3 linked regions of the Kluyveromyces lactis genome follow. The protein of the gene in region 1 interacts with the protein of each later gene in a pairwise test. Links are inferred from orthologs where the notes say so. Each region holds a gene or a part of one and is shown in the gene's direction. Other genes may lie near its edges.

The links.
Region 2: the proteins of RIM20 (region 1) and RIM101 interact in binary tests that used the Saccharomyces cerevisiae proteins (3 or more experiments, as listed by UniProt). The link is inferred for Kluyveromyces lactis from reciprocal best matches to the Saccharomyces cerevisiae genes RIM20 and RIM101.
Region 3: the proteins of RIM20 (region 1) and VPS4 interact in a two-hybrid assay, tested with the Saccharomyces cerevisiae proteins (2 studies listed by BioGRID). The link is inferred for Kluyveromyces lactis from reciprocal best matches to the Saccharomyces cerevisiae genes RIM20 and VPS4.

Annotation. Positions count from the first base shown.
Region 1 is NC_006039.1:638,620-642,573, forward strand, and holds RIM20 (Rim20p), read left to right. Parts: upstream 1-1,336; coding exon 1,337-3,295; downstream 3,296-3,954. Other genes in the region: EFR3 (Efr3p), read left to right, coding at 1-1,202; MOD5 (tRNA dimethylallyltransferase), read right to left, coding at 3,282-3,954. UniProt on the Saccharomyces cerevisiae protein: Required for the proteolytic cleavage of the transcriptional repressor RIM101 in response to alkaline ambient pH, which is necessary for sporulation and invasive growth.
Region 2 is NC_006041.1:79,098-82,723, forward strand, and holds RIM101 (alkaline-responsive transcriptional regulator RIM101), read left to right. Parts: upstream 1-1,418; coding exon 1,419-2,972; downstream 2,973-3,626. Other genes in the region: WSC4 (Wsc4p), read left to right, coding at 1-264; GRC3 (polynucleotide 5'-hydroxyl-kinase), read left to right, coding at 3,398-3,626. UniProt on the Saccharomyces cerevisiae protein: Transcription factor that mediates regulation of both acid- and alkaline-expressed genes in response to ambient pH.
Region 3 is NC_006038.1:948,691-951,931, reverse strand, and holds VPS4 (AAA family ATPase VPS4), read left to right. Parts: upstream 1-1,301; coding exon 1,302-2,594; downstream 2,595-3,241. Other genes in the region: ASN1 (asparagine synthase (glutamine-hydrolyzing) 1), read left to right, coding at 1-821; KLLA0_B10824g (pyridoxal 5'-phosphate synthase), read right to left, coding at 2,752-3,241. UniProt on the Saccharomyces cerevisiae protein: Involved in the transport of biosynthetic membrane proteins from the prevacuolar/endosomal compartment to the vacuole. Required for multivesicular body (MVB) protein sorting.

The DNA of each region.
Region 1 (3,954 bases):
TAGGTTTATCAGTGATTGATATCTTGAGAAGACTAATCACTGTTCAGCTAGCAAAATCGGATTCAACTACTGTAGTTAAACAGATTGCTGTGACGATTAAAGATTTAAATCGCAAAACATACTACAAACAGCAATCATCTGATATGTTTGCCGAATTGAGTTTTAAATTTATCGAAAGCGGAAAGCCACATCACCTTGAATTATTCCAGCTAGATTTGGACTCCTTGATATCTGTTACTAGTGACCAATGTCTAGATCTTGATTTATTTGGCGAGTTTTTGCCATATGTCACTGACAAAACGCAGTTATCAAAACTTTTGTATCCAGAAGCTCCACATCAAGTTATCTTTATCAGATTCTTTGAGAAAGTATCTACTTTATCAAAACAAGATACTGAAATTGCCATATCAACCTCTTTTGCATATTATAAAGCAGCCTCTCTTCTTTCAGGTTTGGCCTACTATGTCAACAACAATCGACCTTCAGACGGTTACTATGCCTATCATCATCATGCTTCAAAGTTTCTAGGACTAGCAGATTACCAAACTCAAGTTGAGTTTAAAAGAAAAGACAATGACATCTTCACCAAGGAAGACTTGTTGAATTACTACTCAGATGCAGGTTCCAATATCTACTCAGAGAAGGGTAGAGACATTCTATTGGTTGATCATTCTGACCAAAATGGTACTGATATCGATCAGGACACGGTTCGATACTCAACACCAATCCCGTTGCCACAAATTAGCATACCCCCAACCACTACAAATGGCATTGGCATAAAAAAATCATCGCCAGCTAATGATACATACGTTACAAGATCTCTGAAACATAATCCCGTTCCGAACGTAAAAGACTTGAAGAATTTGGTCTCTTCTAAAAAAGATAAAAGTAATACAAAAACGTTACGTGGTTCACAATCGGTGAAATCAAAAGTCACAAACATAACATTCCTATTAGATGAATTAAAGAACGATGGCGATGAAATTAAAATTGCCGACCCAGATGAAGAAGACATTATTGGAATGGAAAAACAAGATCTTGCAAGATCTTATTCCTTAAGAATGAATACCATCAGTAGCACGAATTCCAGGACATTAATACCGTCAGTAGAAAATGCAGAGGAACATGGTGATGATTTCAGAGATGCTCATGAAGATATAGAGGTCTCATCTTCTACCAGAGGTAGGTTATTTATGGTCTAATGTATTATATGTATTTTAAGGTATAGACATTTAAAAAATGAAAAAGTAAATGCATTTATCAACAATAGTATGATAGCAAGCCCAAAATCTCTGGTTGAGAAAACATTTCGCCAAAAGGTTAGTCTAAGACCATAATGAATGATATATTTGCTATACCGTTTAAGCGCGCCCTTCAAATTAATTTGAAAGATGCGTTTACCGTTGTAATAAACAACACTTTTTACCAAACAGCGGCATCGGTAGAGGCTGATTTAACCCAACTTGACAAATATAGGGATGTTTTATTCCATCTGGACGTTTGCCAAGCTGACTTAAATATGTTGAAACAATACTATATGGCTCTCAAAGCTATTGCTGTCAAGCTTCCCGATGACCAGGTAGAATTCACCTGGTTTAATACACTCGGATTAAAGTCTTCGGGTATGACACGAAACAGTCTCCGGTTTGAAACATTTAATGTGTTATACAATATTGGGGCTATGTATTCTTCACTTGCAGTTGAGCAGCGGTTAGAAAGCACAGAAGGTCTGAAGGAAAGCTGCCGTCTTTTTAAACTATCTGCGGGTTGTTTTAAATTTATCTATGAGCATGAAGTCAGTAACAACTTCAAATTCTTCGATGAATACACTCTGAATGCTCTCGTTTCTATGATGTTAGCACAAGCGCAGCAAATGGTTTGGAAAAAGGCATGCTTTGATGATATAGAAAGACACTCCATTCTTTCGCGATTGGCCTTGCAAGTAGCTTTATTTTATCAAACCGCTTCGAAGAATTCAAATTGTAGTCCTTATATCAGGACTGATTGGGTAAAAAGTCTAACCTCAAAGTCCCACTATTTCATGGCAATAGCATACTACAGATCTGGATTGCATCAGGTACAGAAACAAAATTATGCTCAAGGTATATGTGATTTTCAATATGCATTGACATGGATTAACAAACTTTCTTTGGATGATGAACTTACCGAATGGAGAGGAGAAGTGCAAGCGTTACTTGAATCGGCAGAGAGAGATAATGACCTTATTTATTTACAGGCATCAGTGCAAAATCCCTCCAAAGTAAAACCAGTTATGATGGTGCAAGCGGATCTTTTCGATGAGATTGAGAAAAAAGATGGCAATATATTCAAGAACTTATTGCCGATTGATGTATTGGAATCTTGTAACGCTTTCAATGAGAGGGTGGAGACATACGTAAAAGAGCATATCTCGAATCCCCTTGAATCAATGAACAAACTTTTGATCTCGAATACACCGCAATATATGGACTTTAAATCATATTACATATCAGAGCAGGAATGGAATTCATACAGCGACTCATTGCAAGACCTTGAACAATTGCGAGCATATGTTGCAGGTGAATTGAAATTATCTGAGTCTATTTTACAGAAGGACATCCAAGAAAATGAGCAAATGATTCGAGAACATGGCCTGCTGCGGTGGAAGATTCCTTCTAAAGATAAGAAAATCGAGAGTCTGTTGGCAGACTTAACCAATATCCGTAATTATATTGAAAATGGTATGAAAGTAGATACAGAGACAGCGTCTCTTTTCAAGACTTTGGATCATGATTTGGTAACCAACGTCAGTCAACCACCTGAATCTAGTGACCCTATTATGAAAGAAGCATCCTTGATATTGCAAGGAAGAAAGAATCACATACTAGCGGCAGAACGCAAGATAATTGAAAACCGTCTCCTTCCTAAAATTGTATCATATTATAAAAAGACAGGATCTAAAGATTTTGAACCTGTCTTTCAAGAACATATCCGAATGTTTGATGGCGATTTGCTGCAGGTACAAAAGGAAAAGGCTAAAAATAAAGAAATGCTGACTAAAGTAACGCTATCCTCACCAGAACAGGTTCAAATCTCCAGAAATGATCCACGTACTCTTTACTTGGAAGAACTTAAACATTCATCCAATGTGTTGAGTGAGTTAAAAGAAAATATCATTTCCGGCAAACAATTTTATCAGGATTTAATTACGGCATTAGAATCCAAACTGAAAGAAATCGAAGATTACGTAAATGAACGTAAGCTGCAAAGAACTGAACTAAATGATACCCTACTATGTGACACTAATGAGAGTTGATAGAGCTGCTATCCATTTCCAGCAGCTTCTTCTTTTGCCATTTTTCATACGACTTCTTTTTATGTTGCCTGTTGATGTTAGTTTTGTGCCGCCTACTTTTCAAGTGAATTTCCCAATTACGCGAACCAATTGCGACTAGGTTTTTATCTTCTTTATCTTTACATAAACTGCAGGAAAATTGTTTCCAATCCATATCGCTTTTTGGACTATTAGATGACTTGTATGCTAACAATTTTTCTAAATCTGGCTGAGCTAACGGAGCCTCAATGTCTTTGCCTTTTGTGAAATCTGAGAGTATTGCATTAGCTCTAGCTGAAACGCTCACATCCCACTCTAATAGGTCTGTTGCATTTAAAATATAGACTTTGCCGTCAACATCTGGTATCAACATTTTTCTTATCCATTTCACTTGCCTTTTTGCGTATTGTCTAGTTCGAACTTTCATCTTTTCAACACATTCATTGAGATCACATTCGCTTGATTCTTCTAACCACGGCAAAAACTCTTTGAATCCTATCACTTGCCAGACCCCATTTTCACATTGTTCTTGCCCATAATTGTGCTGTTTGTAGTATTCATACAATTCCATGATTTCCTCCATAGCTCCAATCTTCATCATCTTGTCAACTCTATTATCAAGTCTCACATCTAAAACAGCT
Region 2 (3,626 bases), on another chromosome or scaffold:
GGCGGTGGTGGTGGTGCAGCACCCTTTGTTTACACAGATGAAAAGGGTATTGTGAACACGACGACAACCAGTCCTAAATCGCCGACATCAAACACCCAGCAACCCGTTAATACCCCCGAGTCTGAAGTATCAGAACCTGTTGTCCTTGACCAAAGGCTGGATCCACAACATTTAATGTCGCAATGGGAAACGAACGGAAGTAGAGTATCACTCGCTGACGATGTTGACTATTCGAGAAAAGTATTAAGAGTAATCAACGAATGATTGTGCGCCTACAACCATCGCATTAAGACACACAGAAATACAACTAAAAACTAAAAAAATGTAAAAGCTATTACACTAATAATACCTACAATTGAAAACGTAATACTACCTCTCTCATCACATCTATTAAATACACTTAAATGTCATCTTCCATATTTATGCATATTCCGTAATTGTTGACTGCTCGCTTTTTCAGTTTCCCTTAATATATAGTTTTAATAATCGTTACACTCACACTATGAAAATTAGGTGCAAATACATACATATAATGAAATATGTATGTGAAATACAAGAGACTTCTACCACATGTTTTAACGTTTACTCCGAGTACTATCTTGAGTACCTGAATGCTACGAAATTATTTTCAGATCTGATCTACTCATAAAAAATCGTCCTTTCGACTCACCCGTCCTCTCTGTTTCTCATTCCTTCACCTTTGCAGATCCATGTTATTACCCGGACTGTTTTAGGGTGCACATAGAAATACATTCCACGTTTTTAGTCATTGTTGCAGTAACTACTGAAATTTTCCACGCACCACTTTCGGCCGGAAAGAAGCCATACCACTTTTACGTTCAACAAAGTCCAGTTGTCTCTTTAGTTCCCTCTCTCGCTGCAGAACCTACTTCAAAGGTCACTCAACTACATCACTCAATACAAAACGATACAATTTGTAACTTCGTTACCTTTTACTTCTATGTGCTTAATACATAACTACAATATTACTTATCTGTATTGCGCATGTTGTCAGGAACTTCACTTACACCAAATCTCAGCGAAGATAAAGAACATTCTTTTGACACTTCGAAGATATATGGGGGAGATAATCGTTTAACATTATTATAAGTTTTTTCTATAGATTTTATGAATGAAAATATAAAAAAGCAAAAATTGTATACAAGGCTAAAATGGTCCTCACCCAATAATTGTTCTGCAGCCCAACAGCGAATGAAAGTAGGTTTAATAAGCACTGTCCGCTGTTCTAAAGCTTCTTAGGTGTGGAAGTGCTGATATACTGAACTATATTCATCCTGTACACAAGTTTTTGATTCTTTCTTCTCTTGATTCAAATCACTTCAATCCGCAAATTGCTAAGAAATAAACAGTCAAGCCATTGACGAAGTCCATATATTCAATTCATTTTCTCCTATAAAATGTCACCTATCGCACACTTATTGAATGCCAGTACCGGCACTGATTCAGGTAGTCATTTGCGCGATATCCATGGTCATCACGATAGTCACGATCACGGTTCGGAGGAGCAGGCTGTCAGTCCTTTGTCTCCTCGCTCGTATCCATCTCCTCGCAGCAACAGCAGTAGTAGCTGCGAAGAGAGTCAATCCTCAGCTGGGGTTCTAGCTAACATTCATACCGGACCGGCTTCCCCTCATGGAAAGGCATGTGTTGCGTCTTCACCCCTTTCCACCACTGGTATGAGATCTGCCTCTACGCCTTCTAGCTCTGACGAAGATACTGTTCATTTGCACCGCTGCCAATGGAAAGGCTGTAGTTTGGAGTTCACTTCTCCCGAACTACTTTATCATCATCTTTGCCAAGATCATGTTGGCCGTAAATCACAGAAGAATTTGCAACTGAACTGTCAATGGGGCGATTGTCAGACTAAAACAGTTAAAAGAGACCATATCACGTCTCATTTGAGAGTTCATGTGCAATTAAAACCTTTCGCTTGCTCCACTTGTAATAAAAAATTCAAAAGACCTCAAGATTTAAAGAAACATTTGAAGGTACATAACGAAGAACTTTCACTACTGAAAAAAAAACGTGGTCCGAAGCCATCCAATAAGCTGGGAAAGATTTCAAATGACAGATCCCGTGCTCATCAGAGATTCACTTTACCATCTATTTCTTTGGATAAATTTATTCACGAGGAGGTGAAGACTCAACAACCCGTGTACTCTCAACAATTGGCAGAAAAGATGGCCATCGTCCTGCTGTTACCTGTTAATAACAACAACGCAACTTCCCCTCCTTCTGCGTCTTCTGCTTCGTCCACTGCAGTTTCCCCGAACTTGGTATCGCACCATATGGTTCTTCCTTACCAAACCCAGCAACGTCCTCTCGTGGGTCACGGTGCTGAATTGAGATCCGCTGTTGGATTCTTCAATAATTTATCCATGGATATGTCTAGAAACTATGCTAACAATAACCTACCGACCGCTAACTTGGGTCCTAACCCGGTACCTGCACCACAATCATACCCACTAATCCCTAAGTTGCCCAGTATTTCAGCCAGGCCAAATGTTGGAGCTCCACCTCCGGTATTGTCCGTATTCAACAGGTTTGATACACATCAAACATCTCCTTCTTCATCATCATCAGCATTCTATCCTCAACACTACTCGAATAATTACAGCCTACACCAAAGAACTGCGCTGTTGGATGCTGAGGCTAACGAAGATATCCCCGAAAAGGACAACGTATCTTTGGAGGAGTCATTCACTTCGTTAAATCTATCCTCAGAAGAGCAAGACTTGGAATTATTCTACGAAACCTATTCAACTGTCAAGTTAGTTAAAGATTATTTGTTATGCGAACTTATGGAGGAGTTAGATGAATTCAAAGAGGAAGAGGAAGAGCAAGGCTTTACGTCATTTGATGAATTTAGTGACTCCAAAGAATGTGTCATTGAAGGAAGAATTCCGTCGAACAAGATATCTCTATCAAAATATCCTCAGGTTGTGATATAGCCTCGTTATAGTAGAATATTACTCCGAATTTTTTCTGCAATGTTATGACACATATACTTGATGACATGGTTTTGGGGCGGCAATCTCTTTTTTTTGTTTATAATTTTTTTTTGTGGATACAATTATAAGGTTAAAGCTGACAGTTTATATGTAATGTTTTTTATTATTTTCTAAGGAGTATGTACAACTATAATTCATGCATAGTTCCCGGTAGGTTTGATTTTGAGTTTTCTCTCAAGATGACGACAGCTTTTGGTTTCCCTTGCTATTAGATGCACTGATTATGAGCTCAGTAAAATGTCAACAAAAATTTCAGAACAAAACAGAAAAAAGTCTCAGTATGAGATGAGATGAGAAGAGGTAAGGTGCAATAAACTCAGCATTCGAATGCCACTTGCTCGGTTTCCAACAGAACCATATTTGAGATGTCTGAAGATATTCTAACATACACCGCGAACACCGATTCAGACGATTCAGATGTGGAACAAAGAGAAATCGAAAAGAAATACAAGACTTCTAGCGAAACGCCAGTAGTGCAACTCTACGATGGAGATGACTATGACAATGATGATATCAGGGAAACGAATGGGAATGACTTTCCTAACGAAGAAGATGAATCAAACCAGCTGTATTCGCCCGTTGTTGACATGAACT
Region 3 (3,241 bases), on another chromosome or scaffold:
CTGCTCGTAAGGTGGCTACATTCATCGGTTCTATCCATCACGAACATACTTTCACTTTACAGGAAGGTCTAGACGCTTTGGACGATGTTATCTACCACTTAGAAACTTACGATGTCACTACTATCCGTGCTTCCACCCCAATGTTCTTGCTTTCTCGTAAGATCAAGGCTCAAGGTGTTAAGATGGTTTTGTCCGGTGAAGGTTCCGATGAAATCTTTGGTGGTTATCTATACTTCGCACAAGCTCCATCAGCTGCTGAATTCCACGTCGAATCTGTCAAGAGAGTTAAGAACTTGCACTTGGCTGATTGTTTGCGTGCTAACAAATCTACCATGGCTTGGGGTCTAGAAGCTCGTGTTCCATTCTTGGACAGGGACTTCCTACAACTATGTATGAACATTGATCCAAACGACAAGATGATCAAACCAGCTGAAGGTAAGATCGAAAAATACATTCTAAGAAAGGCATTCGATACCACGGATGAACCAGATTTGAAACCATACTTACCAGAAGAAATCTTGTGGAGACAAAAGGAACAATTCTCCGACGGTGTCGGTTACTCTTGGATTGATGGTCTAAAGGATGCAGCTGAAAGCACTATCTCTGATGAACAATTCGCTCAACCAAAGGCTGAATGGGGTGACGATATTCCAACTACCAAGGAAGCCTACTGGTACAGATTGAAGTTCGATGCTTTGTTCCCACAAAAGACCGCTGCTTCCACTGTCATGAGATGGATTCCAAAGGCTGACTGGGGTTGTGCTGAAGATCCTTCCGGTAGATACGCCAAGATCCACGAACAACACGTTGATAAAAAATAAGATCACTCTACTAATGTCTCTGTTATAAAATCTTATAAATATGTACAGAATAATTAAATAGAATTAGTACTTCCTCGATACAAATATACTATTTTATTTAACGTTAATGGCAAAAAGATATTTAGTGTGAGACTCTTCTATTATATGACTGGGGCATCTCTCTCATAAGCAATCTAGGATCACGACTGCTAGTATCCGAAGAGTGCTGTAGATGAACATTTCATTAGACATTGTAATTAATCACGTGATTTGATAAAGCATAGTCAAATACATTTTCTTATGTTGATGTTCCCAAGTAATTGCAAAAAGCCTATTATAATAGAGATACGTACTGCCTTAAATGTGTGTCGACTGATACGTGACTCAGTTTACCCCTCTGTTCCTGCTCCATAGTGATTTCGAAATACCATAGCCATTCAAATTGTAGAACGGCTTCAAGATTACAATTTAGTGTTCACTACTCACAGCACTTACATTGATATGAGCACCGGTGATTTTTTAACAAAGGGAATTGATTTAATACAAAAAGCCATTGATTTAGACACAGCTACGCAATATGACGAGGCTTACACCGCATATTACAATGGATTAGACTATTTGATGCTAGCATTAAAGTATGAGAAGAACCCCAAATCTAAGGACTTAATTCGAGCAAAATTCACTGAGTATCTGAATCGTGCAGAACAATTAAAGGAGCATTTGGAAACAGAACAACAGAAGAAACAAGAAAAGCCAAAAAAGGCAGCCACTGCTTCTGGTTCAGGTGGCAATTCCAATACAGAGGACGATGCAGACGATAAAAAGCTAAGAGGAGCCTTATCAGGGGCGATCTTGACAGAAAAGCCTAACGTTAAATGGGAGGATATCGCTGGTTTAGAAGGTGCTAAAGAAGCATTGAAGGAAGCTGTGATTCTTCCAGTGAAATTCCCACATCTTTTTAAGGGTAAACGTAAGCCTACGACTGGAATCTTGTTATATGGTCCACCAGGTACTGGTAAATCCTATTTAGCGAAAGCTGTTGCCACAGAAGCCAACTCTACCTTTTTCAGCATAAGTTCCAGTGACTTGGTTTCGAAATGGATGGGTGAGTCAGAAAGATTGGTCAAACAACTATTTGCCATGGCAAGAGAGAACAAGCCGTCCATCATTTTTATCGATGAAGTCGATGCATTGACCGGGCAAAGAGGAGAGGGAGAGAGTGAAGCAAGCAGAAGAATAAAAACAGAACTTTTGGTTCAAATGAATGGTGTAGGTAATGATTCCAGTGGAGTCTTAGTTCTAGGAGCAACTAATATCCCATGGCAGTTGGATAGTGCTATTAGAAGAAGATTTGAGAGAAGAATATATATTCCCCTACCTGACCTTGCGAGCAGAACAAAAATGTTTGAGTTGAACGTTGGTGATACACCATGTAAATTAACAAAAGAAGATTACAGATCTCTAGGGGAGATGACAGATGGTTATTCAGGATCCGATATTGCCGTGGTTGTCAAGGACGCATTAATGGAACCTGTCAGAAAGATTCAAATGGCAACACATTTCAAGAATTCGTCGGATGATCCAGACGTACGGAAGCTAACACCATGTTCGCCAGGCGATCCAGAAGCCATTGAAATGTCATGGACAGATATTGATGCTGATGAACTTCAGGAGCCTGATTTAACTGTAAAAGATTTCCTAAAGGCTATACAAACGTCAAGACCAACAGTTAATGAAGAAGATATACACAAACAGGAAGAGTTCACCAAAGACTTTGGTCAAGAGGGAAATTAGTTCGAATTCCAGCAGCAATTAAAAGATAATAGTAATGATGTTTCAAAATGCTTTCATGGGCAATATAGATAAATAATCATATACATAGAACGTAACTGAGTCATAATCCTAGCTGATTTTAGCATTAGAACACGAAATAACCCTGATTAATAATCCTTCAGGTATAGTAGCTTGTTCTGTTTTCGCTATCAGATATCTTTGCATCCAATATCTTAACCTTGATGATCACGTTGTCATCACCTTTGATATAACAATTAGCATCTGGATTCACTCTTAGTAGTTGCTTTTCATAGTAGTCGGATTCTTCAGATGATGGATCAATAACTGTCGCTGTACCTGATAGCGTGGCTGACATTTGTGATAGTTCAGATTGATTCAACTCTTGCAAAAGGTTGAGCAACCTACTTGGTTGTTCTTCAGAATCATTAGAATCTGGCACTGGAGTATTGGATACACTTGTTTTCCTCAGAGATAGTTTTTTTGCTGTGACCCAGTCATGGATCAAAAGAGATACAGATGGGTTAGCAATAATATTCTTATACTTTTGAGTAGACTTTGATGTGGCAAAGATAACATAATGACTATTGGAGCCTTCTTCATGAAAGGCTTTATGAGGAAGCACATATGTGTAGTTCATCAATGAAACA